Caenorhabditis elegans: one gene and its partners. The protein of the gene in region 1 interacts with the protein of each later gene in a pairwise test. Each region holds a gene or a part of one and is shown on either strand. Other genes may lie near its edges.

Region 1 (7,200 bases):
ACAGATTTAATGGTGTTTGCTAACTTTACTATAATATCTAAAAAGTTTTTGACCACAATTCATCTTATTAGAATTGAACCCTTGGGTATCCATGTACAACGTCTCAATTGTCATCCTCAACCCACTACACTGCCAATCACTTTTCCTTTGATGTCTGGGTCATCTTGCTGGCTCACACTCGCCGTTCATCGCTTGCCTCGAAAAATGTCTGAACACAAAATTTCATAAGACGCAGTGTCTCGCAGTGTTAGTCGGTTTTAACCCAGTTACTCAAGGTACGCTGGAGTTCTGACCTTTCGAAAGAGAGTGTCAAACAACTTTAATTTTTGGAACTGCTCTACTGGGGTTATCCGGTAGAGCAAAAATAATTGACTTGGTTGATGAGTATGAGGCGTTTCAGTTGCAGTCAAAAGTAAGTAATTACATTTTAAAACTTCCATCCAGTTAAAAAAAAGCGTAGATCCACTAATAGTTTTAAACGCACGACAAATTTCCGATTGGTCTCTTTAGAGTTACCAGACTTATAAAAGCTTCCAAAAAAAATTTCAAGACGAAAAGTTTCTGGATATATTATCTACCAGAAACTCGTGCCGTTTGAACAAAGAAGTACCAATAAATAAATACGTTAGTTTCAGAATTTATACATACATCTCCAAAATATAGGAACTATCGCATAGTTTACAAATGCAGTCTACTTAACGTTGTATGAATTTTAATTATGCCTCCTTTTTAATAATTCTTAAACGGAAATCCTTTAGTGAGCCTATGTAAGTGACAATGTTTTCTAACAAACATTCATAGGACAATTAGTTCGTTTATTTTGCTCTACCGGATAACCCCAGCAGAGCGGTTCCAAAAGTTAAAGTTGTTTGACACTCTCTTTCGAAAGGTCAGAACTCCAGCGTACCTTGAGTAACTGGGTTAAAACCGACTAACACTGCGAGACGTCCCGTCTCATGCAAGTGTGTGTACCGACCGCTTTCGAGGCAAGCGAGTAACAGCAAGAGAGTGTCTGTTGTAGAGATACAGACTACGAAAGTGTGTCTTTTGTGGTGCAGGGGAGAATAAATGGAATGTACGAGGCAGAGCTCTCCTTAGGTTGCTGGTTCGAGTCTCAAGCAGTAGCGTCTTTTGTGTTTTTTTTTATTAATTAGTAAAACATTTTTCGAGTAATTTATTATATACTTTATCAGGATATGCATTATTGATATACTCAAAAGAATACCACCGTTTGTCAAAGTAAAACAATATTATTATTAGAGGAAAAATTGGGTGAAAAATTTGTTATTAATTATTTAACAAATGGCTCAAACACGACGGAAGTTGAAAAACAAAAGTTTGCTAGTTTTTTTAAATAGAAAAACTTCAAGAAATAAATGGAAAACTAACTTACATATAGTGTCAGAGAAGAAATTGAAAGTTTTACCTGACGTCAAACTCGAGATTTGTTGCATCTGAGTATGAAAGAAGATTGTAAATCTGTAAAATTCTGCTGAAAAAAATATTGAAAACATTTTCTAAACAAATTTAAATATTTTTTTAAACCAAACATGCTCAGACAGGTGCGAGTCACGGCTAACCGACTCAAAATCACTGCTAATTAGCAAAACGCCAAAAAACCAGAACTAATTAGCTTAAAACCATGGCTAATTAGCAAACCATTGCTAATTAGCAAAAAACCAGAGCTAGCCAGGTTGACTCTATCCCTGGTCAAAAAGCTAATTAGCAGTGATTTTGAGTCGGTTAGCCGTGACTCGCACCTGTCTGAGTGTACGAATTGATTATCAAAGTCATCCCTTCAAGAGGGATTCTCTTGTTCAATTAGTGAATGAAAAAAAAACGAAAAGTCCTGTAGCTAAAAGGAAAAACTGAGAGAAAAATGTGTGCATTGACGATTTTTATGAGTATTACAGATGTCGTCAATTTAATGTTGGAAAACGTAAATGCAAAACAGAAAGAGACAAATGAACTGTTTTTTTTTAAATGATTTTCAATTGTTTTTAAGAGAAATAGTAGCGATAATTGTTGGTCAGTAACAGTCAAAACATGACTCATTTTTTTGTCGAAATGGTTTATCAATTTTCGTGGAAGCCCCTTGTGGTCGGATCAATCAGACTAAAGCTGCGATTTTTATAGATCTTGTTATCTCTATTAACAATTGCGATTTTTAAGTTACTTCAGAGTAACCAAAACGAGTTCAGGTTATTTTAAAAATAATGGATGGCGTAAAACAAAATTTTTAGAACCACTTTTTGAACCTAACAAAGTATTGGAAGTATTACCAACAAAAAAAGTTTCAGAACTCATTTCCCTAAAACAAAGGACAAAAACATTCAGGCCAAAGGCAACCCTGTATACAGAAATAAGACAGAAATTATCATCGTTGCAACGGGGGGAGACAACAAAAAATCAGAATTGAGAAAGAGCCATGCACCATGAGTCAGGGATTTTTCGTTATTAATAGTTTTTGATAAAATTTGTCCCTTTTTGTTGAAGCTGAGGAGGCTTATTGATTTGAAAGTTTGTTCACATAACCTTTTAGTTGGCAATTGGTACACTTTGGAACACTGAAAACGGAAATATCAGTTTCAGTGATTTTGATTGAAATTGAATACTAATTTCCTCACCAATTACATTCAATCACTTGACTTGACTTCGCTATTAATTTATTGCTCATAGTTTCAGATCTTACCTTCACATCTGCTACAAAATGGACCGCAGAAAGCTTCAAAAAGAGGCAAGAAGTGAAATGAAAAAGGTGAGTATTTCAATCTCGTTCTGAAATTCAACTCATCTTTTATATTCAGACCGCCAATGGCGTCGACCGTGCCACATATAACCGAGCAAAGGCTCTTTTGGAGATAATCCGGAAGGTTAGAAATATACATTTATTCGTCATCACATTACATTTCTAGAATGCCTAGGACCGTTTCAAGACATCTGTGAGAATTATGGAAACCCGCCTTCAGGAAGAGATTGCCACAAATGATCTGGCTTCCTCCACGATCTCCAAGGTGAGTCATGATAATTTTGACTCGGCAAGTTTCCAAAAATTGTCTTCCGTCGTTGTACGATGAAATTTATGGCTTAATATATTAAAGAATAAAAAATAAAAAATTGTAATTTGGGAGACAGATGTGAGTATATTTAAGGTCATAGCTACTGCCATAGGATTACTGTAGCCAATATTCCAGTAGCTGAACTATTCCACGGGCAATCTCCGTTGTTATCATGATACTGTATGATAATTGTAATAAAACTAAAAATCGTTTCTGAGATCATGAGCGAAGATCAAATGAATTTATTGGCGGGTTATTATAAGGCTACTGTCGTGATACTGTAGTGATACTGTTGCCGAAATTCATATCATTGGAGCAAACAGGGAACACAATTTATATTATAAATCGTCCTATCAACTTTCAAACTTATGTCGTTTCAGTCACGCCATGCCATTTTTGCGTCCATAATCGAAGAGCTCAAATCAATTTCCTCTCACTTTTGCATTCCAGCTCTTCCAATATGATTGTTCTCCATATTTATTCTGTTGACCACTGTCAATTCAAAATAGATATCTTCTTATATAAAAATTATGTTCGAAGAAACTGTTGCAAATCAATCTTGTTTAGAATTACTGGCAAAATAATTTCAGTTGTTTTCTCCTATTTTATTTCTTTTCGAGATATTTCTGTTTAAAATGTTGTTCATCCGGTACAGTTGATACTACTATAAACTTATAGAATAAATTAACACAGTGCCAATATCCTAATTCACAGTCTCAGCCGGAATTTCCCAGGCAGTACCCAATCGATATCCAGTCGTCTAGTTTCGCATGGTCCCAAGACAAAACTGGAGATGTCCAGCCTCGTTCTCATGAGAACCTCACTGATGAACCATGGGAACCCATGATGGGGACTGTAAAAATAGAGATTTCAGAATAATTCCCATGGCTCCAAACGCTTGATACAAAGCTCCACCCTCTGAACAATAATGGAACTATAAAAGGTAACCATTTATTCATTGTTCATTTACTTTCTTGGTGGATCACTGGTCTGCTGGTTTAGTATACTTTTTGATAATTGTAACATCAGGAAAGTGTACTGATTTTGATCAATTACTTTTAAAGCATTCAGTGAACTGTATACTTCTAGAAAAACAGCACGAGTTATCTCACTAAACTAAATCAATTTGTGCTGCTTTCTTGGTCTCATTTTTCTGTTTTGTCACAATTATTCCTTTTATTTAACGGCTCATCTTGAAATTTTATAAATTCTAGATTTCTTCTTGATTTTAAAAAGATTAAAACTTATCAAATTTCAGATGCCAAAAGTTATCCCATCTTCAATGAGCGATTATCGTTCCGTCCCATACAATCAAACTCCAAAATCAGGATCTGAACGGAAAAGAAGAAATATTACAAACGAGTTGATTAACGAATGCAAGACGATTGTTCAAAAATCAGAAGAAGAACATATATCGTAAGTTTAAATACTCTGTTAGCTTAAAATAGTTATTAAACTAATTCATTTTTTAGACAAGAAGTAGTTCTCTTCCGAATTGTGAAACTTGTGACTGGAGTTAATCTGGAATCTAATTTCTCATCGAATGACCTCTCCGAATCTACAAGACGGAAGTTTGATACTGAATCCGAAAGAAGAAAAGTGAAGACTGAACGTGAAAAGATTCGAAGAAAGAAACAAGATGACTGTTATGCTGAATTGAAATTCTTCATTTTGAACAAACAAATGGGAAGTTACGAGCAACGGTAAGAGTTTCATTATGGCTAATAAAAATTCAAAAAATTATTTTCAGATTAAAACTTGAACGGATCACAATTCTAGAAATCATCATTGATTACATTAAACACAATTCCGATCTTCTGTATCCAGAAACAATTCCCCAAATACTTCCTCTTTTAGCTGGAAAATCAACTGCTACTTGTGAGAACAAAGAGAATGAAAAGCCAAAAACACGAATGGAAGTGAAGGATCTCTTCCCAAGATTGACGTTTCAAGAAGTTCAAGAATCCCCAACATCTACTTCTCCATTGCTCACATTTCCATGTATTCCAATGATCCCAACTACTCAGTTCAATGTCTTGTCAAACTACAACACCGTTCCATCAATATTTTCTGCTCCCCTCCGATTCATTCTTCCATCACTTCAAATCTTAACACCAGAAACTAGTGACGAGGAAGAAAATGAAGAAACCGTCGATATTAGTAACTAGTCTATCAAGTTCTTCCAGATCTTACAATTAGTTTCTGAGCAATTTTTCGAAAATCTTCATTGTCTATATTGCGTTTTTGATTCATTTTTTTATCTTTCTATGGCCAATATTCCCGAACTTTTTCATCCCATCGCGTCGCAATCTATTTTTGAAGATTTTTTACTACTCACGTGATAGTCTTGTCTAAATTATTCTGTTTGAAAATGAATGTTTATTCGGTAAAATTTGTTAGCCAGAATACAAGCAAGACAAGTATGTATAATCAAAGTTCCATTAGTCCACACCAAATTCCATCTCCCAGTCATACGGAAACTCTTCAATGTCCTTGTCTAGCATCACTTTTTGCAGTGTTGTATAGATCATCTCATAATCGGGCTCCTTGAAGAACGAAAGACTGTCGATATAGCTGGAAATGGAAAATTACGAATAAATCAGCTTTGGTAGAGACTCACTTCATAATCAAGCGAAATTCATCTGGGCAGCCAGCAAGGAATTGGCCCATGATCGGTTGGAAGCGGGAATTCTTCTTCATCGCACCAATCTCGCCAATCTCATTTACATTTTTCCAGGGAAGAGCTGCATTGGTGAAATCGACGAGCATGTAGAACCTAGAAAAACACATTTTCTCAAATAAAAACTATTATTCTTATTTTCAATTCTAAGTGATAACCCAATCTGGCCTTCTGGCATCTTTACAGAATATATCACATAAATGACTAGTTCTTAAATTGATTAAACTAGCCAGCTTTCCAAATCGTCCTTCAGTCCATGTTCCGCCGTATTATGTGATGCAAGCGGTGCATATCGAGGGCTTCCACGAAATGGCACAGTTTTTCTTGGCTCGAGCATCAAATTTTCGCGATCTACATACTTTCGGCAACATCCGAATCTAAGAACAAAAATGTTGCGAAGCTCGCCTTGGCTTGCTCTTCCGAGATAGAAGTTGCCAGGGTTCACATCTCTGTCCAAGAACCCACTCCAATGCAAATCTTCCAATGCTTCCAAGCATTGAAACGATGCCCCAATCGCAGAGCCCAAATGTCAAATGACCATCAGGCCCAGTCTTTATAGCATCTTGCAGGGATTTCCCAAGAAGCTTCATGACAATATAGTTAAAGTTGTCATGGCGTCCCTTGTCTGAAAGATGGGGTTACGGTTACCTACAAAAGTGTACTACATACCAATGAGAGTAGGCATGTGGCTGGGCGACTTCTCAGATACCTTTGTCATCACACAAAGCTCAATTCTCAGCGACTAAAAATAACATTTTCTGCTTAATGGTTCGACAGTATTAACTCACATATATCTCCTTGGTATTCAACTGAGCCTTCAAAACATGCTCCTCTCCAGCATCATCTCGCACAGCATACACTGCTCCGAATTCACCATCTTCAAGTTTCTTGAAAACCTTGTAACGACGAACTCTATAGTCAATACTTAGCTGAATAACGGGAGCCTCCGTCATCTCGTGACGAGAATAGATTTGAAAATAAATTATTTATGGATTTTCGGAAAATATTGATCTTGTCGTTGACGAACTTTTTTAAACACAACGTTATCACATCTTTGAAGTCCACGTTCAAAAAAAGTTTTTCTTGTTTTTTTCTGCAATAAAATTAACTTCATAAACTAGAAAAGGAGATTTTCAAAAATCCGGACTGTTGATTCAAAATTATTTCAAATTGTTTTTATTCTGATATATATATATATATATATAATATAAATTAACACAATTCTAATATCCCCTTTACATTCTCAACCAAAATTTCCTATAAAAAGGGGAAACTCACGCCCATAACATGGCCAAATAATTGTTTGTCCATCTACGGGTCTCGCAGCGAAAATCAAAGTTTATTCGGTGTTTTTTATTTATCTTTTTTTTTTGGGAAATTATGAAACTAATTTTTGTTAAAATGATTGCAATTTCCAAAAAAATCAAAATTTCAAATTAAAAAGCTCGAAAAAATAGTTTA
Region 2 (7,336 bases), on another chromosome or scaffold:
CGGCATATCAGTTTGACTCTGAAAAGAGAAAGATAAGCTTATGCGCAAGATTTATTAAATATACTTTCTGCAAGGAATCTTTGAATTCTGTTCGGTTATCGTTTTCTCGTTTTCTAATTTTTGTTCGTCATGTTGATACGTTCATTTCCTGCACAAGATCATCTTCGTTTTGTAAGATGGGAAATATTTTACTATTAACCGTTGCAATATTGCTGATTACTTATAAAAAAACGACAAAACTGAAAACCTTTATTTCAACTGAGTTTTTCATTTCACAAAATACATCACAATTTGTTGTCATTTATGTATTTCTGAAGAAGATTTCATTAGGTAGTTTTCTGAAATTTTGAATTATATTAAAGAAGTTTTGAAAAAGCTCACTACAAAATTCGTTTTTATGTTGTCACATTCTAAGTCTCTATAATCAGCAACCCCACAATTGATACTCCTCCAATTATGAAAAAATATGTTCAATTTGAGTATTTTTCTTGTTAGGATTAAAGTGAAAAATTCTTCCAATAATAAATCAGAAAGTATAAGTAAACTTAAGTAAACTTAATTTTCCAGAACATTTCAAACAGTGAGAACTAGAAAACTAGTCTCTCATTTGAAATCAAATTTCCAATTGTAAGTTTATGTTTTTAAAAGGCTGTAACATTAAAACGTACATTTTTATCAATAACATTTTTGAAATAATTAATTAAACACAAACACATTTTTTTTGTTTCAGTTTATGCTTGGTTTCCAAAATATTCCCCTAAAAAACAACGACCATAGTATGTCATCAAATCAGTTTCCCACTAGCCTTCTATGATATCAGAATGACCTGGCACCCCCATTGCATAACGGTCCCATTCAGTGTACAGACTAAGTAGTGATTAATAAGGAGTTGGTAGGTTATGATAACCGACACAGAATCAGAAACCCGTGTGTACGGCTGAATTGGTCGACATAAGCGGGTTTAGCCAGCGTTGCTCGTTTATCACTACCGTAACAAAATTACTCTGAACTGTAATCGATTGGCAACATATGAATGATTTTATCAATGAGAGGATTCAGTTTAAAATTGGTATCTCACGTGATCAATGAAATATGAAACGATTATTTTACAATCAAAATGTTGAAAAGTAACTATTCTTTCAGTTTAGAATATGGCATTGAAGTTTATAGAGAATCACGTAGAATTTTGTGTTCAAGCTTTCAAGTATTCCAATGATAAATAACATTTTGCTGTTCGGTTTACGAAATTATTTTAAATCATCACATCATTTTTTTAATAGACCATATTTTTCAACAACTCTCAGAACTACCAAATGTCAGTAGAAACAGTCTGAAAATCATTCTGAATACAGTCAATTTTCTCTTCAAATTCTTGCTATTACAGAAACATATTTTGTATAGGAATCTTTAAAATATACCTTTCATAGCTGCCGATGAGCACTTTGAACAAGAAAATTCATTCAAAAAATGACTAATTTTTTAATACGGTTTTCATAAACCTGTTTTTTTTTGAACATATCAACAAATGATTAGATAATTGAAAAAAATAATGTTTTCGTCGGTTGTAAGTTTCTTAACAACACACAAGTTTAAAACATATTTGTGCCAGTTTGTCTCTAATATGACTCGAAAATATGAAACTTTTCTAAAAAAACACTAAAATGTATAAAACCGTGTGATTTAACGTAATTAGAATTAGGAATAAATAATTAATCAATAGTGTCAGAATTGAGCTTAAAATTCAGTAAATGTGAAAATTGAGCGATTTTTTGTTTCTAGTCCATTCCGTATTATGAAAAACAAAACATACACCACAAAAACATTTTTTAATGCAATTTAACTTTAAAAAACATTTTCATGATTTTCAAAAAATGGGATTTTTGAAAACATTTCTGAAAATCTCAAAAAGCCCATAGCAGATTGCTAGTCGATTTTTCAACTTTCTTCTCCCTGTTGCTCTTTGTTTTGAAGATCAGAGTAGAATAGTAGTTACAGAAATGCTTTAGTCTTTTCAATCACATATCAATACTAGATTTCCGGCGAAAAATTCGAAAATGACCCTCAAACCAAGTGGTAGTCTGATCGCAATGAAAACTTCTGAATAAGACAAAAAAAACTGAATTTAAAAAAATCAGAACTTGTTTATTTCTAAGCATGGCAAAACAAATTTATCTTCTAAAAAATACAAATAAAAGCATTTCTCACACGACAAACCAAAGACATACTAATGTTGCGAAACATTACTACAACATGAAACTATTCAAATATATTTAATTGTCTGAAAATTTACTATGCTAAATCTTTAATGCCCAACAAAAAAACTTAGTTAAAATATTTTCAAGTTTGGTTTTCAAACCAATTTAGGAAATATGTGAGATAATTAGGGTTTTCAGAGATTTGGAATGAAATCTGTGTGCACAGTTTCATGAATTAATAGTCAATGCTGAAACTTCAATGAGCTAGCTCAAAAATTTGCACATTGTGAGCCCTTTGCTGTGGAGCTCATGCTGCCTTCTATCCTCTTCAAATCATTTCCGGTTTGAAAACAGACACCCATCTGCAATAAACGGTGCCGACCGTGGATATTGCACATATGATCCCTTGCTGCCCTCTTGTAAACTCTATACACCGTATTGCAACGTCATTCAGAAAATGTTTTATTTTTGGTACAATATTGTATCTGACACAATCACAAATCTAAAACTTTGACCCTATCAAGTATGAAGAGAGAAGGTAAATCGAAAAAAATATAGACATATGAAAAAAAAGAGTAGCATATATTGGAAAAAACAGATGATCCTCAAGTAATACTGGACAACATGAAAATGTTTAAGCAGGAATGACAAAATTGACCGTTTTCATAAGAAAGCCTAGATGCCAAATACTAATTCTCAGCAGAATTTAGCGATCAGGTGAGATTTGTGGGGATGTCATAGACGTCGAATTAAAGCTATCAGTGAGATTTTGAAGAATTAATGTTACTCGTGGATCCAGTTCAGGGAGTGGTGTTTCACTTTTGATTGGTACAACTGGAGCTCCAATACTGTGTCGGTTTGGATCATGTGTTGCACGGTGGACGAGGAGAGTTCTTGATTGGCAGAATCCTTTCCCACAGATTTCGCATTTGAATGGCCTGTCCTTTTGGTGGATATACTTGTGGTCTCTAAGATGATCCTGACGACGGAATGCTTTTCCACAAACATCACACGAGTATGGTCGCTCATCAGTATGTGTCCTTTCATGGATCAGGAGGTTGTAAGACTTGGTGAAGTGACGATCACAATATTTGCAGATGAATTCCTTCTTTGGTCGGGCTGCTCGGCCAGTAGTCCTTCCACGTCCAGGGATCATGAACCTAAAACTAAATAGTTGAGATGATACAGTATAAAATTTCTTATCATCATATCGTACATTATGATACAAGAGCTTACCATGGTTGATCGTAAGGAACAAATGGTCGAACGGCTGCAGTAGTGAGCGTCGGGGACATTTTTGGAGACACACTTTCTTCTTTGATCTTCTGTTCAGATTCAATTGAATCAGCCATGTGAGTGAAGTCAAATTTTGCTTTCTTGAGATCGGTGATCATTGGAATTTCTGGATTCATAGCAAGCAGCGCCATTTTCCTCTGCTGCAGAAAATTTTGGAGTTGGAGGTGTTGTTGTGCAAGCATCATTCGAAAAACTTGTTCATTTGATTGAGGAAAAATTGATGTTGGAACTTGTCGTTGCCACGGAAGCATTTTTGTGTGTGCGGGAAGGGCTAGTGTTGATTCCAGCTGAAAAGAAAACAATTATTTCAAATTGATTTGAGGTCGCAAAAATAGCGGAACGAGCAAATACGATTTGAAAAGAGGGAAAAATGATGATACCGTTGGGCAATGTAAGAGAGCAGAATTCAGAAGAAGGAGCGATAGTTATTGTTTGCTCCTTTTCAAGAGAAGTTGTCACTTTGTTAACGAGTATTATCGTCTTATGGGGTAATCTACTACAAACAAATCTAAAAGGAGGAGAGGACTGAACAGGCGGAGCACAATGTTGCGGTGGTGGTAGGGATGACTGTCAAGAAAGAAGGAGGATCACTTACAACTCAGTGGGATACTTTGACTCTATGGTGCCGCTTTTTTGGGAGGAGGGCGACTCACATTTTACACCACGCGTCATCTATGAATTTTTATAGACTCGCTAACACTTCTGAATTTTGGAAACGGCGATAACGAATGATTGGAAATGGAAGAGGGGCGAAATTGAAAGAAATTCTTTGTGCTGGTCGGTAAGTAGAAAGGTTTTGATGGCTTGTTGATGCTCGGGCGCATGATATTATCAAGTACACGGCGGCTATAAAAACGGTTGGCTTCCGTGCTTCGGTCCTACATCAAAGGTAGCCGACGTGCACGGAGGTGTTAGGGGAGTGTTTACCAAACAGTAGAGGTGTATGTGACTAGAAGCTATCTATCTCATTTGCAAGTTATGAAATTGAAGAAAATGAGAACCACATTTTCCATATTGACTCATAGAGAAAACCAGCAGAAAAGAGTCGAAAAGTGTAGAAAAAGTAGAAAAAAGTAGGGGAAAAATGAGAAAAAGGGAAAGCCTTTTCGGGTGAAGACTCGCGGTGATATGCAAACATTAGACATTTTCAGAAGGAAGAAAGTTAGCAGAAAAAAAGAAAAAAATCACAGTTAAATATGGGCCTCTTCTATTGACAATATGATGATACTGTGACTTTGACTCTCCCCGTTTTTCTCACTCTATTTCGGCGATGTGGAAAGAAGAATGGTGCCAAAAAAGAAACTTTGGTATCAATGGGGAAAAACGAAAGCGGACAGGGAGCAGAATATCATTCTCAACCTATTGTTATGATAAAATCGTATCGCGAGCCACCTATTTTCCCGCTTTTAAACATCTCAAAAATTTTTTGCTTCATGTATAATAGTTTAAAAACAAGAAATGATACAAATTATGATGCATGCTGGCCACATAAAAAACAGTAGAACCCTCTTCCGTACGGTTGCAAAACACAATTGAAAAATGTGGGTAAAACGGCGGGAAATTTGTCATTGAATCATATTAGCGGTTCAGACTAATACTAATACAAAATTTTATATGCACTTTTGTCGAAAATTTGGGCACTACAAACTGTATAAAAGTTTGATCTTAATTTTTCAGCTTGAAAATGATTTTTTTAACAGATTCTCCAATATGGAATTTCCAAAAGTGGTACTTTTCAATTTAGTTTTCACAGAATGTGCTCGAATGAGCACTGTCTAACTTAGCTAGCTAGCTACTGTGTAACGATAAAACTGTTGAGTTAAGACAGTTTTTGTTAGAGATCTTCAACAACTCACACAAATAGTTGAAAAATTTGCAGAACCAAGTTTTCAGAACATACAATATCGCCTATACTTGGTAGAATGGAGGAACTGAGTGGCTTCCCAGAAGCAGACGGAGGCGGCCACCACCTCGTGTTCAGCTCGTCTTCTCCTCCGACACGCCCACTGTCTTTGCTGCTGCTCTCTCGGCGGGCGCTGGTTGACTGACTACGGTAGGCCCTGTGCTGCCGTGCACCGCCTACTTTAGAAGTAGAAGTAGATCTTTGAAGATTTCATGACACCCTTTTCAAAGAAGTTTTAGACCTAACTATACTTTTAAAAAACCGTGAAACTGTCTGGAGCGATAAGAAACATAAAAAGCGCCTTTAGGTCTGGATAAAGTTTTTCTAGACACACGGGAACCGAATCTATAGAGAAATTCAAAATTTTTGATTAGGTAACTGTAGTACACCAAAAACATAAGTGACATTTTATAACTTGACTGATGACAACTTAGGACATCTTGCACTATTTAGATAACATTTGCACGACAGTTATACACCTTTCTAGCTACTCGTTAATGATGAGTTATGGAAGTAAACTGTCCTATTATAGTGAACAGAAATTTTGAAAATACACATTAAAATTTGACATAAAAGAGAATGACTTGGAATATGGAGTACCGCGCGGCAGAAAAACCGCCCACTTTTTTTTGAGCAAACCATTTTTCTTGGCTATTCTCCGTTTGAATTTGGTTTCAAAGACGACGACAACTTTTTATGAAACCTATCATGTTGGGGTGGTACGTGTTCCTTTTATGACTCTCACTACATAAACGTTCCCTTTTGGTGCAACATGCCGACTAATGATAATTGACTATTATCTTTGAAAACACTAGAGGTGAGTAGATGGGATGATAGTTTAATGATAAAAAAGACTTGGAAAAAATGAATCAAAATTCTATTTACCTGAAGATTATCCACCGTAGTGATGCCAAAGTCAATCACAAAATGAAATAAGGTGTGAGTCAATGATGATTTCCGGAAAAGGTGTGCGAATCGTGCAGAACAAGGTTCTTTCTGTGTGAAGAAGAAAAAAGGGTAATGATAACAAAAAGCGTAGGCTTCTATTTAGTAGGTAGTTTTAGGGGTACAATTAATCCGCTTACTGCAAGTTAGGGAGGAGCGATAATGCTGACAAGATGCAGTTATCATGAAGTTTTTGACGCCAATGTCTCGGTTTTGAAACAAAAAGGACATATCGGCTTATAGGTATGCGAAACTTTGTCCCAAGCAGTGGAATGATGGGAGGAATGTGGAAATTTTTGTAATTTCCAAGTAAATTTTTAAAAATTCTATTATGTAATTTCCCATGTCGGTATCCTCATAACCTCTGTGTTGAAGACTCCAACCGGTGTGAATTGTGCATTTCCATTAATCCCCTCCTTGAAGAAATGATACTCCCGGCTCTCATCCCAAACAGAACCCCCACTGTTTCAGACAAATAAACATCTTCCCTTTGCGCAACACCCCCGGGTACCGACTCCCAGAGTATTAGAATAGGAGGAGAACTTTTTGTGACGATACAAAAGAATAAATTGAAGGTATGTTGAAAAAGAAACGGACAGAAAATTCATTAGTGAGCGACGAGGGAAACCAGCATTGTTTTGTGTTACTGTAGATTATGATATCAGTTAGATTATGACACAGAAAAATTGTCATTTTTTCTTTTGTTATGGCAGAAGAACAGAAGACGAGGTAGATTTTTTGAAACCCTTCCAACAGGGTGCCACCTTCCGGCGGCACTGGTTACTTACCTAAAGAAGCTTGTCATACAAAAAATGCATTGATCAAGCCTGATAGGTTATTGTACCTTCTTTTCTTATTGCCTTGTTTGATCGCTGAAGAAGAGGTATGGAACGATATTTGGACCTCACTGATGAATAGCGAGGAAACAAAGCGGGGAGGCTGGATGAAAGGTGTCAGCAAGCATGCCGGCAGCTTACAGGGTTTAATTGTTAAATTC
Region 3 (7,939 bases), on another chromosome or scaffold:
TCATTCATTCTTTTTTGACATTAAAAAATAAAAAATACTCTACCATCTTTTGTGGATTCCTCGTCTCCTTTAATCATATCGTTTGTCAATTCAACTCCAGTTTCGTAATCTGAGTATTCGATTTTCTTATGATGGCCACCAGCGGTTTTCCATTTGTCTCCAACATAGTCATATTTTGCATCTTCGATTCGAAGTGGTCTCACATATTCTCTTCCTGTCCATTGTTTTACATAATCAGCTATAACGTAGAAAATAAGTTCTTCATTGTACGGTAAGCGAAATTTTCTAGTGATCTGAAATGTTTCAAATTTGTTATTTACAAGTCTTCTGTAAAAACTCACATTCAACTTATTTTCAACTTGATAAACTCTTAATTGTGTTTTGCATGATTGTGAGTGAAGAAAATTGCCTCCAAAAACGAGACTATCATCTGGAGTATATACGGCATGAATCCATCCACTTGGAATTAGCATCGTGTCTCCTGGCTCCAAGATAGCCACGTGGCACTTTTCGACCGACTTTCCAAAGAACGCATTATCGTTGACAGTTTTAATAAATTCTTGATAAATAAAAAAGTTGGTTTCGGTTGGTGGAATCAACCAAAAGACTTTACGACCTTTCAGTACATGATACCACACAGATGTTCCACTAAAATCAATGTGAAAATCTGTATAACAGTTCGCTACGCTCATCAGGCAGTAGTTTTGAACTTTTGGAAAAGTATGATGCGGATTGTAGAATTTTTTGTCTCTTCCGTTGAATGAGATCCACCTCTGGCGCAGAGCATCTGGCCACTGGTTTCCAACCCAGTCGATTTGACGAACAAGTTCTGGAGATTTTACGAGATCTTCTAAGGGAGTTTGGGAAAATTCTAGAGATAGAACATTGTACAGTACTTCTCGTTTTTCTTGTGGCGTTCTGGAAAATGAAGTTTGATTGGTGTTTAATACTAATTTGTAATTACTCACTTGTAGAAGTTTATAAATTCCTGTAACGACATTTTCACACTTCCTTGATTCTGGACTTGAACAACTTCTATCATTCGATTTCCGCCTACCAGTTCGAGGACATCATCCACTGAGAAATCTGGTGAGGGAAGTCTGTAAAAATATTTATTTTTACAATTAATTGGAAAAATCAATACTCACGTCATTCCTATTCTTTTTGGATCACATCGGAAATGTATCGGGTTGTCAAGTCCATTTTTGTCGTAGAACTCCAAATTTAAAGCTTCTGGGTCCATTGTATGTACAAATTCGGGATGTTGGAAAGACGGATCATTCATCAGAGCTTCGAAATCAAAATTCACACATCGTTGAAGTGACGACTTATCGAATCCAGTAGTTTCTTCACCTTCTGAAGCACTATGTTCGTGCTCTGAACTTGACTCTTTCCTAGCCTTCTTTGCGCCCTTTTTACCGTTCGCTGGCGTTTTTCCATTTGATTTCCGTTTCGGCGGCATCTAAAATAATATATTTTATTAGAATCATAGGAAAATGGTTAGTTATGATACAAAACTGTCATAAAGTTGGCGTAACTACGGTAAATCAATTAAAGACTTGAACGCAGAGAACGGAGTTTTTCTCAGGACATTTTCAAGCGATTAATTAGATTAACTTTCGAGATTCTAATGGCTTTTAATAAAAGAAAATGTAAATTAAGTACCCAAAAAAAGTTTCGTGAACTGCTTGAATTAAAGGTACATGGAATTTTCGAAGGGTCTCAAACGGAACACAGTGATTTTAAAAAATCGATCGATTTGTCGGTTCTTATTTATTTAATTTTTTGGACTTTTTTCATCTTATTTTTGAAAACTGTTTCTAATTGTTTTGATTGAAGCGTTAATAAGACCGAGTAAGGAATTATCTTTAAATAAATTGACAAATTTTGAACATAATTTTCCGCACTACGATGAAAAAAGTTAAAATTTGATTATTTTTGCTTTTAAATGCTTCTTAAAAGCAATAAGAGAGAAATACACATTCAAAACATTAAAGCAAAAAGCGTGCAAAAATCGAAATAGAAACTATGGGCAAGGAACGGAAAAGGCGCAAGCTGGACCACTGGCGTGTTCGACGCAAGCCGTTTCTCTCTCTGCGACTCTCCTCACCCTCACCCCATAGTGCATTCCTGTTTGTTGTTTGATCGTATAACCAGCCTCCTTTCTTTTCACTCCCTGATTTCACTATTTCTTCCTCTTTTTTACTATTTATTCCATTAAAATACAATTCTGGGTTTTCAAGGTCAATATTTCTTCCTTATTCCTGATAATTCGTATCGATTTCCCCTGACATCCTTTCTGGCCTACAATTATGTGGCGTTGTGACGTAGACCGCTGAATTGACAAAACAGTCGAAAACGAACGGGTGGACGGCACCATTCTTTGTTTGCTGCTCAATCTTACAACGACTAAACTTTTTATCGATTTAGCGTTTTATCGACCGCAGCATAAATAGGAAGGGAATGGAATAGAATATACCGATCGTTTTCTAATTACCCATTCATAATCGATTAGCTGCCAGCATCAATAAACCAGCGGCTGCATCTTCTTATGTCATTCAGATTCTCGACACCGATTCGATGTTCTTTTTTTCAGCATATCTTCTTCGTCGGGCTCTCATGTAGTCGCATTGAAGAATGACAAACTGCATTTTTTATGCGATGACACTCTTGTGCACGATGTTGCCATCGATTTGTTGCTCTGTTTCTCATAGTTGTTTTTTTTCAATTCAGTCAAAATTAATAGATCAATAGGACATCTAAATTTAAAATTCCAGTTGGTATAATATTTAAAATATAAATAGAAACATTAGTCATGCGCATGGCGTCAAAATTTATCTAAATTTTAATCTTTGAGTATCTTTTCTGTTTAATTTTACGAGCCCAATAAGTGTATCTATTATTACGGAAATATACATTTTAAAGTTCAATTCCATAATTTCAATCCACCATTTTTTACACCAACCACCGACATCTACCGTGAGTGCAATAACGCTCCACGGCACTTCCCGCCAAAACCATATGACTGCACACCATTTGAATTTAGTCGCGTGTGCACGACATTGTTCTTTGTGCTCAGCTCTCGTCAAAAACCACTGAATTTGATTTCTAATGAGGTTATTCACGAAATGTGGATAAATATCTTAATGATGATGTTCTACTCGGTCTTTTGATATTTGGAAATTCAACGGAATCGGTGAAAGCCCACCCTTTTCACAATAGAAACCTTCACTTTCTAAAAAAAATATTCCTCCGAAAACCCATTCAATCTGCTTTACGCATCTCTCTGCCCGCTTCAATTTCCTCTGTTACCCTCTTCCCAACTACTTTTTCAGGTACATCCAAGATGGCTTTTCCATTTTCAATTACAGTATTCAGGACCGATGAAATCATATTGAATATCTGGGTTTTTGAAACAACACATTATAATATTTTTACCCAACCATTTCAAAACAAAAAAAATAAATTGTGGGCGAATATTTCTATTATTTCTATGACACCTCTTTTGCTTCTTTATAAATTTCTCTATTTTTACTATTCTCCTCACCCTACAAAATTTATTATTTTTTCAGCGGTGTCACTCGAAGGATGAAAGTTGCCGCGAAGAAGCTGGCAACGAGTAGAATGCGAAAGGATCGTGCCGCAGCAGCGTCACCATCTAGTGATATTGAGAACTCCGAAAATCCATCGTCTTTGGCTTCACACTCTTCATCTTCAGGAAGAATGACACCGTCGAAAAACACAAGGAGCAGGTATGATTGATTAGTGACAAGAGGGATTGTAATAGAACGTTTAAAAACTTCAATATTTCTAATTGAATTCACAACATATTCACAGAAATTGTCCAAGCTGAAAACTTCAATTTCCAAATAGTTTTTCTTTCAGAAAAGGAGTGTCGGTGAAAGATGTCTCAAACCATAAAATCACAGAATTCTTCCAAGTGCGGCGAAGTAATCGGAAGACGAGCAAGCAAATTAGCGATGAAGCTAAACATGCTCTTCGCGATACCGTACTCAAGGGGACTAATGAACGACTTCTTGAAGTGTACAAAGATGTTGTGAAGGGGCGAGGAATTCGAACGAAAGTTAACTTTGAAAAAGGAGACTTTGTTGTCGAATACAGAGGTATGTAGATAACACAGATAATTGTTGTAATATTGTTTTTAAAAAGTATTCTAGGTGTTATGATGGAGTACTCGGAAGCAAAAGTGATAGAAGAACAATATTCGAATGATGAGGAAATCGGATCCTACATGTACTTTTTTGAGCACAACAATAAAAAATGGTGTATCGATGCGACAAAAGAATCTCCATGGAAAGGACGACTCATCAATCATTCCGTGTTAAGGCCGAATCTCAAAACGAAAGTGAGCATTTCAAAATTTGAAATTTATTAAGAAAGTCTTTGATAAATTAAAAAAATGTAAATAACAATTCCAAAACTAAACATTCCAGGTGGTGGAAATCGATGGGTCGCATCACCTGATTCTCGTCGCCAGGCGTCAAATCGCACAAGGAGAAGAGCTTCTCTACGATTATGGAGATCGTTCAGCAGAGACGATTGCCAAGAATCCATGGCTTGTGAACACATAATATGTTGCTCCACAACATCTCTTCGATCTGCTCAATCCATTTCAAATGTTCATTTACCTTCACGAGTATACTACTGTAATTCCCTTCATTTTCTCATATTTTCCACGGCACTCGTGCCCAATCCTCTCATTACTTCGTCTCTTTCAACCGCCTTTTCTCATTCTCACAGCGAATCAAACCTGAAACAAATCTCAATAACGAGCCGTAATAACGTGCTCATTTATGATAATCTGGATCTCGTGAGTATCCAATTCTGTACCTTTCCTGTTGACTTTTGAAAAGTCCCTTGTTCTTTCCTTTCATTGAAACCTGAAAATCTCCTCACTTGTTCCACTACGAAATGCCTTTAATATCTTTAATTCTTCTGTAAATTTCTCGTTGATCGCCCATTTTTTCCTGAATTATTCATTTTTGTGGTGTACATGAGGTGCGAGTTGGAAACCTACTTTAATGACTGGTTAACGCTAAAATCGTTTCCATCCCTATCGGAAAACATTATCAGCGTGCAAATCTCAATTTTTCATTTTGAAAACAATTAAAATCCATAAATTTTGCTACATTAATCTTTTTTTACGAGTATATTCCGTTTTCCGGTATAGCAACCATAAGAATTTATCTGAAGATGGTAAAATTCGGGAAAACATTAGAGCTTACAGTTCAGAGAAAGATGCATCCAATTCTGAATGTGGTCGTCGTTAGTTTCCATCACAAGCGAGGATGTGAGGTAACAAAAATGGCAAACTATCAGAAAAATCAGGAAAATATGATACATAAAAGAATAAACTCGAAAACGTAACGATTAAGGTCATAAATGTGCAGGAAAGTAATAAAATGGCAATATAAACTACAAAATCGCGTATATTTTGCAGTTAATTTGAAATAAATGTTACAGTCAATCGAACATTTCACAAAAAGCAGAACGTTTTTGGTACTTTTTACTATTTTTGCAGTATTTTTCATATACATTTAATTATTAAGTTTTGTATTATATGGAGTGAAGATTTAAATTCAAGTTCATCAACTCAATTTGTAAAAAATCAATAAAATAAATCTTGTAGGTAGAATACTCGCACCCGAAACTCGATGGCACGGGCGAATCGGGATTACCCGATGAATGGCATCTTCTTCCATCACTGGCGTTGCCGGATGGTGTACATAATTGTCAAAAAGATACAATATTCTTTTTGCTTCCATCTAGAGAAGAACCTGGAAAATCGATATTTGGCATCTCGTGTTACAGACAAATCGATGCAAAAGTGAGATTTTATATGACTCTTCAGATAAAAACTGTTTGACTTTGCAGGAATTAATAAATAAATCGGAAGATGTGACTAGGACCAGTGTTCAAAAAGCTGTATGCGTTCTTTCAAGAATACCACTTTTTGGTCCATTAAAAGCAAAATTGGAAGTAATAACTCAGGCATATTTTGAACAAAAAGATTTTTCGAAAGTTGATGTTCTTGCTCAAATGTATACGAATCTTTGCGATATATTCGACGAAAATCTTACTGGAGAATACTTTTCAAATCTAGCTCATCATGGTACGTTATTGAATCAATTTACTAAAATAAAACATGAAAATAGTTTCAAATGTTCACATTTTAATTAGCGATATCAGTTTCAGAAATATCAATTCAAGAGCTTTTTATACGATTCCGTCACCGAGCTCTACTGCTTTTTAAATTATTCCTATTAGAGCGGAAAGTTTTATTCATTGCACCAACTGGATTACGATTAGGAGAAACTATGCTGGCTATTGTTTCAATGTTTCCAAGTAAGAATATACAGACATTTTAAAATCGTTTAATTTTGAATTTCAGAGCTTTTGGAAGAAGGTCTGTTCTACGCAACAATCGGGGTCAATACGAGTTGTCATTTCAAAAATGTAAATTCAAAAACTGAAGGAAAAAGCGAAGAAATAGTGATAGAAGAGGAGGTTGGTGTTCAGCTTTCACATGATGATCCATTGAAAGAAAAGGATTCGTGTGGATTTCCTATAAGCTTATTCACACAAGGATCATCATTTGATCCATATCTATCAATTCAATCAATGGATTTAGTCCCGAAGACTCAGAGTTGTATATTTGGAGCTACGAATGCCTTATTTGCGATGAAAAAGGATTTATTTGATGTTATTGTGAAGGTTTGTATTTTAAATTAACAATTTTCAGGTTTCTAACTAAACTTGAGTAATTTCAGATCGAAGACGACGGTTCTCTTGTCCATAATCACATTGAATTTGTCAACGACACAGCATTGGAACGAGTAGTTTCTCTAACTACTGCAGATCTTCGATTCGCTGATTTTATTCTCAAAAAAGTCGAAGAACAGGTTAAATCCTCAAATGCTGAATTCGATGGATCAGATGAATGGATTCGTTTACAAATGAAAAACTATCTTCTTGGCCTCGTTGCCACGTCACGTTCCGATCTACAAGCAGCGATACCTCATTTTGGAATCGCTTTTGTAAACGAATGGCGGAGAACTAAAAATCACAAAATTTGGGTTGCAAACAAACATGAAGATTTAACATCTGTTGCGCCAGGGTGAGGAATTTCAGAACATGAATACATTTTTCAATCTGAATATTTCAGGCACATGTTCTCGGAACAAATGGGAGTCTATGACGTGTATCTTCGTTTTGAACATGCCGTAAATGGAGTTGAAGGAGCTTCAAAAGTTATTGGAACTGTAAATACTGCCGGAAAGAATTTAGGAAATACCATTGGTAATTTTTTTCGGGTTTGGAAATTAATATAGCATCTAAAAAATTTCGAGAAATGAAGTAGCAGTAAAAAATTGAGGGCATAGCTTTCATTGCTTTGAATTATTCAAAATGTTCAAAATTTACAAAACTGACATTTTGCCAAAACGAAAAAAATATTTTTAATACTAAAGTGATTAACTCGATCGTGTTTTCAGGAGAAACCGGTAGTCGAGTCAAAGCAAAATTCTCAAACTGGTGGAATCGAAAAGCAACCGCACAAGAAGGTGTTGAAGAGGCAGAGGAGCCATCTGAGTGATTTATTAAAGTCAAATATGTATAATGGGCATTTTATCATCTTTTAAAGTTTTTTATTGTAATTAGAATTTCTGTCATATTTCCTTTGTTTTGTTTGTGTTCCATTCAATTTGATCTCTTAATGATCGAATCGTTTTCATCCGGTTTATGTAAGTCTAATCAGTTTGTTTTTCATGTAATCAATATAACTATGCATTTGTTTAAACTCAAAAATTGGTTTAATATACGGGTGAAGATGAACATCCTTTTATATATTACTTTCTTCTAATGATAGAATTGTGATTTATGATCTGTGACCATTAATGTTTTGATTTTAAATACGTAG
Region 4 (7,837 bases), on another chromosome or scaffold:
GAGATGGTGGGGCATTCAAAAATACAATGAACACAAGACGTGCCAGAAGCGCCAGGTGTTGGCGAGTGGCGCAACCGTTCTGATTTTATCGCGACGGAAGAGGTAAATATGTGAGATAGAATACTTGGCAGGCGTCGTTAACACCTCACCTGTTCGACAAATACCTTTACCTGACAGACGGTTCCTAGCTCACTTTTTCAAAAAATGTGGAGAAATTAGTAAAACTTATTTCTATGGTGTTCAAATGTCCAAAGATCATGATAAAACCTTTCAAATAGAAATTGGAAATTTTGGTACTTTTGTGTGAATCGAACTCAGTTTTCACCAGTAACAATAAACATTTCTCGCAATAAAAATTTTCCAAAATTTTTTTTCAAAAATGATATGTAGTAATTTAGCAAAATTTTGACATTCATAGTAAAGGCACAAATTGTTTTTCTGAGTGGGTCTCGCCACGATCTCAGTTAAAATGCTTGCTACAGGCGCGAATATATACAAATTTGTTGTTAACTTGATAATAAAATTAAAGTTTGTGAACTTTTAAATTTTAAAGTGAACCTAGAAAAAATAGTCGATAGTACATATTTTGATGCCTTTCAAATTAGAAAATTTTCAAGAATTACTATCATGCTACATTTTTCAATTTATAACATTTGACTTAACAATATATAATTGCTCTCTCTAACTCATATTGCTGAAATGGTATAAATTTTTAAGGATAAAAAATCATAGCAGCTTCCATTCTACAGTTCATTGTTTCAATTTTGTCCCCGGAAGAGCACAAGTGTCGTTCATTAGTAAGCTTAAGATAATTGGTAATTGGTAGTGTGTTAGGCTAGTGGTATGTTTGTGTAAGCACGCAAGAAGTGTGCATTCTTCCGGTTCAGTGACAACTAACAACTAACACGCCTAATTCCATGTAACACGCTCCTCTTCTATTATGTTTCCCCTTTTCGTCGCCCACAAAACCAGGCTCATTTAGTGGAAATCTCGCATTTGAGAAACTCCAGGCCCTCATCCTGATCATCGTTCTCGTCTTTAGACAAATTGGTCGTGTACATACACACACACACACACACACACACACACACACCCACATATACACATTGAAACCCACTTGACATCTAATTCGAGAATAGACAGGGGAGAAAGGAGACGAGTACGGTAATCGTCTACCGCCAATAAATAGGATTTTGAAGGAACGGTGTCATTAAAGCAATTGGACACCACACCGTGAACGGTAGTGGGGTGAATTGTGAATGAACACATCCAAAAACACAGTTTGCAACCATTCCGATGAATTTGGTTCCGTCGATGGGGTCATAAAAATTATAACCTCATAATTAGTATTATTTTAACAACCTCTGGATTAGGTAGAATAAGATAATCTAATGATTGTTTTACAATCACTTGATCTTCTTCCCATATTTTATGCCACAACGGAGACAATCATGATGTTCTGCGCACCGATCCGTGATCTGATGATGTGGCTCGTCAACCACCCCTAATGTATCATTGACTGCTGCTCTCAATAAAAAGATTACAAGGGAATTAGCTCAGGGGGCTGGTGGCAATTGATTCAATTTACACTCAGCACACACACACACACTGACAAATACACGTATACACCTGTCGTCTCCTTTGTCCGATGAGCTCCCGGATGAATAAAAAATGAAGATGATGCTAATTTGGGAGAAATGTGTATGATATGGGGGAAGGCAAAAGTTTGACACCTTTAATCGGGATCATTGAACAGTTGATCACACTTGCATATAGGACAAATTACAAAATTGTCTAGTTCTTGATTTTCAGATTTTCGAGTATTTTACCGTATTTCTTCTATTTTGCATCACGATTCTGTGTTTCGGCTGCTCACCAACTGGCAGAATATGTTTTTTACGTATCTGATGATTTCCAAAGGAACTAGGATAATACCTTTCAAGGTAAAGTAGTGGGATCCTAAATTGATCAGCGATAAAATTTTGAAATTTTTTTTTTTTTTTAATTTTTGAAAATTTTTTTTGGCTTTTTTAATTGAATTCTTGCGGAGTCACACATTTTTTTCTAACTCTGCAATTTTACTGTGATTTCAATCAATCATTCTGTCACTATCACACAAATTTTTCTAGATATAAATTCTCTGAAAAAGAACAATGGCTAGAAGTGATGCACACTTTCAAAACCGCATTTTAATTTCAAAGCGGATTTTTCCTAGGAAGACACCGTATGCTTGGAATAAGTTATAGTGGAAAGACGCCGGGTAAAGTTCTCGGGACAAGTTGCGGTATTTATGAGAGGAAATTGGAAACTAATTAGGACAGAGATGAGTAGTTTCAGATGAATAGCTGATTTTATTGCCATTTCTATAGTTTATTTCTTTTTTAGATGAACTTTTTCCCCGATGAATTCTTCCCAATTTCCATTCAATAACATTACATGAGTTTACGAGTTCATGTCAAATGGTGAATAAGTTGAGTTACATGAGTTTACAGGAAATGTTTGACATTCCAATACGAAGACCAGTTCAATAAATCATTCTCGCAACGACCCCTGAAACGATGACATGATTGAACAATAATTCGTTAACAAGTCGACTCAATTGCAATAATACACGGCTGCGGTCTCCTTCGACAATTGTCATCTTGCTAAACAATTGAACAAGACGAATGAAAAGAAGGTTGAGGTTTTGACAAACTGTACAGGACGCGTCTCTAACCTCCTTTCTCAAATTGGGTGGCATCATTGTTCGAAAAAGGTGTCGCTATAATTGACGAATTATTCGACTCCTAGGCAGACGATCTTCAACTGTAAAGGTGTTACGGAAAATCTACTCAGCTATGAAAGTTGGAAGGCCTCCACTTTGACGAGTAACGTAGAGTGTTTGAGGTGGAGAGGAAGCGGGACGACTTTTTGCTTCCCCCCAAAATTGTCTATTAATGAGAAGGCTAATTGACGCACTTGGTGTGAGGAAATCGCTACCGTAATTTTGTCATTTGGAATGATTCGCAATGTTCTGTTACTTGAGCGAAAACACTCCAGCGTCCGTTGACTGTATTGCATTTTATTATTTTATAATAACCAAGACATTGAAAGTGAAACATTACAGAAGAAATTAAGAGATCGGATTTTGAGAATGAGGGCAAAATTAAAGTGGCTCAGCAGGAAAAATAGAAGAGAAAAACAATAGAAATTGAGAATTTGACATTTTGCGTGATGAAAACCGGATAAATACTCTAAGCGAAAAAAAAACAATCTTCAAGGTGGAAAGGTATTATTCATCCTCATCTGATTCTTTTTTAGAAACAGATGCATTTTTTACAGAATCAGGAGATACTGATGGTGATTCTTTTGGGGAACTGATATCATCTTTTACGTTTTGCGATGCTAGAAATTGCAGTAGAGAATTTTGAGAGTTGCTAGCAGGAATCATTGAAGAAGTTGGGACGACTAATGAATTGAATACAGGGCGATTATTAGAAGCTCCAAACATTGAAGTGTTCTGTGATAAGTAGTTTGCCCAATATGGATTTGTTCTTAGAAGTTGTTGAACGGCGGCCATATTTCCAGCATCGTGAAGAAGATCCATACCAACAGAGGCTTGTCGTTTCCATTTGGTTCTGAAAGTACCGTGAACATTTTTTTTCATTTCAAGCACTTTTTTTCTCAAATTTTTTGCGCCTCCCAGGGTAGCAGCTCCAATCTCAAAAATTGGATAATGACAGTGGAGCCGTTTCCCGTGGGGTGGTTGAAAGGAGTGGGGGAGGGCGCGGAAAAAAGATGACACTACTAAATAAAATTGGTGGGCGCACGCAAAGAAATTGAGGAGGGGTGAGAGCTTTGATTAAGATAAATTTCGATGGGGGTGAAGCTTCTCGCTAATGCACTACAATTAACACAAAGTGGCGTGTTTAGACTCAATTCTCGCCCAACTGCTGGCGCAAAGAGCCACACGTTGTTGTTTTTCGAGAAAAGAAAAAAAGTTTGCCTAATTAAGGAATATAGCCGACCAACCTTCTATTTTGATACCATGTCTTTACTTGAGTATCTGTTAGCCCCATTCGATGAGCCAGCTCCATCCTATCTTGAACAGACAAGTACTTCTGCTTCTCAAAGGTGTTTTCTAGCTCTTGAAGTTGTTTGTCGGTGAAGATAGTTCTCGCCTTCCGAGCCTTTTTTGATCCCACGCATGTCGGACTCTCGTTCACAGATCTTTCGGTATTCGGGCTCCCAATTCTAGGGGATGATGGCGATTCCGAGGAATTAATGGAGGTAGGAGATGGATCTACAATAACAAATAAATAAAGAAAACTGTTTGTATAGGTAAGAGGAGAACAAAGGATCATAATTGGTTGACCTATTACTATTACAGATTACCGTCCATGTGACTACTGGAGCGTTAATCCGTTAAATATCATTTTTCAGGTTAGTTGTACATTCAACATTCTCATGGAAGTCTATGTAGATTAAAGTGTTAGAGATGGTTGAACGAACATACAATAAATGCAATAACTTTAGGAAAATGGTGGCAAAATGGATTACCTGGTTCGTTGGTTGAGTGTGAAGTTGGATCAAGCAGATCAGAAATGCGAAAAGAGCTGTTTAAGTTTATCTTCGCGCCACCGGAAGAACTCTGAGCAGCAAGTTGGTTGGTGGGGTCTAGAAAGAATGCAGGAATCAGAAACTGACGGAGATCCAACATTGACATTGTTATGATAACCTTATCAGATGATGTAACAATACAATAAGTTTTGTAATAGTCAAATTGAATGACTTTTAGACAGTAGTTTAGTGTGAATGAGTGGGTTGGAAGGGTCCTGTTGCCTGCAGTCACTAAACGTCGCAAACTCGTTGATTGGTCTAGTCACGCCCATGCGAAGTGGAAGGCGGGGCGTGTCGAAGAAGGGAATAGAATGGATGACACCACGCGGTTTTGTATTGAGAAGTGTGGTCCGTGCAATCCACCTTTTTGAAGCCAATCAAGTGTGATAATGGGGGACGATGAAGCTGAAAACGAGCAGCTTCGAGGAAAAGACGAAAAGCAAAAGTTTCGGAAATGAGGCATTCAGGTGAGAAGAAAACAATTCAGACAAATCCCGAAACTGCCGAATGCAAACTATGCACACTAGGCTTTTCCTAAAAGCAGAGTAACAACGCAATGCAACATGATCCAAACGAGCAATGATTTTCAGATAAAAAAGCACTGAATAGAATTCAATATAACTAGCTATGCTAGTGTAAAACCGCAGAAAAAATCAAAAATAGCATGCTGCTTCGGCGTGCAAAAACTAGCGACTAAAGCTAAAAATGAGTTTCAGCCCGAATGATGTTTCAGCTTTCTGACTAAAAGATGATGAGGTCTAATAGGTACATTGTGTGTGTTTTAATATTTGATACATCACTGATTTGAAATCAGCACAATGGAAAACACTATCTGAAAAGTTCAGTAACAGTGACTACTTTTGATAGTTCATTTTGCATTTAGATTTTCCTGGCTGTGATCTTAAACTTGCTTCACACGTACAGTTCAGATTAACTGGTAACATCTTTTGGTACTTGTGTAGTATACCTAACACAAAAACATTTTCCAGTACATTTTCCATGCATTTCTTTTGAAACATAATAATTTATTCAAACCATGAAATAGATTTGCATTTTTAGACTTTGAAATACTTTAACCTTAAGCCTATTATCGGCAAAAAGGGGTTTAATATTTTTGGACCAGGTGTACTAAACTGGTACCTAATTTTTTTAATCCCAGATCCGCAAAAATCAGATTCTCAAAACACTAAAAATTATAATAAAATGCTAAGTAAGTAAATTTTTTATTTATTTTGAGCTTTATAGGAACTAAAAAAATGTAAACGTTTTCCGAGCTTTTAATTTCTTGAGCATTTATACTTAATTAGAGTTTAAATTTGTATTTTTCGGTAGCCGAGTTTGCAATAGTCTGGGTTCCTCTTTTATAGACTATTATGAGCAAAAAAACTTTGTTTTACATATTGAAATATTTTAAAAATTATAAACTAATATTTATAGTTGTAAAAAATTTTCAGACCCTTTATGTTTGCTTGAAAATTTGTTCAAAAAGTTTTCAATAAAATATCATGTTGAAACATCGTTATCATTCTGAAAAATATATTTGCAAAGTGAACAATGTCAACAATCGTTATATTTTTCACAACCGATTCATGAACAACGCGAATCTATTGTTTGTTATCAACGTCTAACAACTTACTAATACTTAATTTCCTGCCGTATTACCTCTCTAGTTTTCCGGCTGTTTATGTTTGGCGGCCACCTCCGTAAAACGTTAACTTAAACGTACAAATCTAATTTTATGCTGTCCCATCGTTTTCCCTCTTTCCCACTAACTAATAAGCAATATTTCCGGTCACAAACGGTCGATGAGCAACAATAATATCTGCATTCTCTTTGACGGACAGCTGTAGGCCCATTACCGGGGTTTTATGAGGAAAAGAGGAACCGCTATATGGTGAACTGTTATTAAGGGTACCGAACACAGTCATCTGGAAAATTTACTAATCGAATACACTACGGGTTTTCATTTTTGTGTTGGAATGACTAATGGGTCAAAAAAAATTATCAAAAATGTAAACTACAGAGCTTTTTTTCAATTCTAAAAAAATGTATTGTAACAACAACTCAAGATAAGAGTGAGTTCCAGTAGTAAAATCATCAATTGAACATGTTCCTGAATTTTGACTTCATGTCGGAAGACTTTTAAATTGAAGTGCGCGAAATTGGTAGGAGTCTGCGCTTGTTTGCCGCCCGCTCACCAAAATACAAGGACAACCCATATACCGGGAGGAATTTGTCGCCTCGCCCGGATATTCGACAGACGTGACAAACGACTGCTTTTCAAACTGCCAATTTCGATGTCACACCTGCAGTTTTATAATTCCTTCGGGTGGTCTCTAATCTTGTGCAGCGCCTAATAAGAACATTTTCTTTAACAAGAAATTAAATCGTTTTGAATGGAGTTATACTTGCTCTGTTAACAGGAAATTTTCAGTTCGGCATTATTTCAGTGATATAATAAATCCACAGAAAACAACGTTTAGAAAGGTTGAATATGAGTAGCCTGATCATGATTTCAGGTGCCCGTTTCAATTTCAAAAATATTTCTGTTTTCAACTACTGTTTAATGGTCATCTTTTAATAAGATTTTTCAAAATTTTTTCAATATTTCAAATCTTCGGCAACTCGACAGCTGTTAAAAAAATGAGTAAACTCTGATTTTTACAGAAGTACATGTTTTTGGCAATGAAACACAATTTTCAAAAAAATCTCCCAACATATTACATCTGAATATTTTTAACTGTCACTCTGAAAATTGGAAATTTTATCAATAACCAGCCGATAACCGCGCCTCCGGCGCGGCCAACGACTGGCGGAGTTTAAAATGTATAACAAATAGATGTCCTTTTAATCATTCAAAAATGCCTCATTAAAAAAAGTTGAAACTTCATCGATTAAATCGCATTTTCTCCTTCCATGGTATACGATTCAGAAAATTCAAAGAGACAGTTAGAATGTTCTGATTTTTCTACTAACACATTATCATTATCAGGCTTTCGAAAAAATTCCACAGAGTTACAGTTTTTTTAATAAGTTAATAACTTTCCTTAACTGGAGAAGTCTGAATAATTAACTACTAAGTTCTTTGAATATAGATGTAACGAAACAAATAAAAACTCCTACAGTTATAGGAGGTTGTAGAGCATTTCAGAACTTTTTTGAATTTTCCAGATGATTCTAGAACAGTCTAGAATTTTCTTGAAACTTCCAGAAGGTGCTGAAACAAAAAATTTGATTC

Evidence for each region.
Region 2: the proteins of hlh-27 (region 1) and odd-2 interact in a two-hybrid assay, tested with the Caenorhabditis elegans proteins (one large-scale study listed by BioGRID).
Region 3: the proteins of hlh-27 (region 1) and set-1 interact in a two-hybrid assay, tested with the Caenorhabditis elegans proteins (one large-scale study listed by BioGRID).
Region 4: the proteins of hlh-27 (region 1) and ceh-31 interact in a two-hybrid assay, tested with the Caenorhabditis elegans proteins (one large-scale study listed by BioGRID).

Annotation. Positions count from the first base shown.
Region 1 is NC_003280.10:5,537,327-5,544,526, reverse strand, and holds hlh-27 (BHLH domain-containing protein), read left to right. Parts: upstream 1-4,313; 5' UTR 4,314-4,317; coding exon 4,318-4,475; intron 4,476-4,531; coding exon 4,532-4,762; intron 4,763-4,809; coding exon 4,810-5,227; 3' UTR 5,228-5,452; downstream 5,453-7,200. Other genes in the region: C17C3.24 (uncharacterized protein), read left to right, coding at 2,952-3,014, 3,440-3,523; C17C3.11 (Protein kinase domain-containing protein), read right to left, coding at 6,117-6,364, 6,409-6,481, 6,528-6,692.
Region 2 is NC_003284.9:6,156,744-6,164,079, forward strand, and holds odd-2 (Protein odd-skipped-related 2), read right to left. Parts: upstream 3,785-7,336; 5' UTR 3,743-3,784; coding exon 3,432-3,742; intron 3,356-3,431; coding exon 2,902-3,355; 3' UTR 2,634-2,901; downstream 1-2,633. UniProt on the Caenorhabditis elegans protein: May function as transcription regulator. Required for morphogenesis and function of the digestive tract.
Region 3 is NC_003281.10:6,448,006-6,455,944, reverse strand, and holds set-1 (Histone-lysine N-methyltransferase set-1), read left to right. Parts: upstream 1-3,572; 5' UTR 3,573-3,588; coding exon 3,589-3,752; intron 3,753-3,885; coding exon 3,886-4,124; intron 4,125-4,170; exon of another isoform or gene 4,171-4,178; coding exon 4,179-4,366; intron 4,367-4,377; exon of another isoform or gene 4,378-4,454; coding exon 4,455-4,592; 3' UTR 4,593-5,153; downstream 5,154-7,939. Other genes in the region: jhdm-1 (JmjC domain-containing histone demethylation protein 1), read right to left, coding at 44-293, 342-918, 969-1,100, 1,149-1,462; T26A5.6 (UDENN domain-containing protein), read left to right, coding at 5,260-5,316, 5,651-5,848, 5,896-6,133, 6,211-6,366, 6,413-6,735, 6,792-7,138, 7,187-7,320, 7,515-7,615. UniProt on the Caenorhabditis elegans protein: Histone methyltransferase that specifically monomethylates 'Lys-20' of histone H4 (H4K20me1). H4K20me1 is enriched on hermaphrodite X chromosomes and during mitosis. Involved in dosage compensation by repression of X-linked gene expression in hermaphrodites.
Region 4 is NC_003284.9:3,065,603-3,073,439, forward strand, and holds ceh-31 (Homeobox protein ceh-31), read right to left. Parts: upstream 4,821-7,837; 5' UTR 4,706-4,820; coding exon 4,540-4,705; intron 4,283-4,539; coding exon 4,012-4,282; intron 3,955-4,011; exon of another isoform or gene 3,672-3,954; intron 3,618-3,671; coding exon 3,272-3,617; 3' UTR 3,046-3,271; downstream 1-3,045.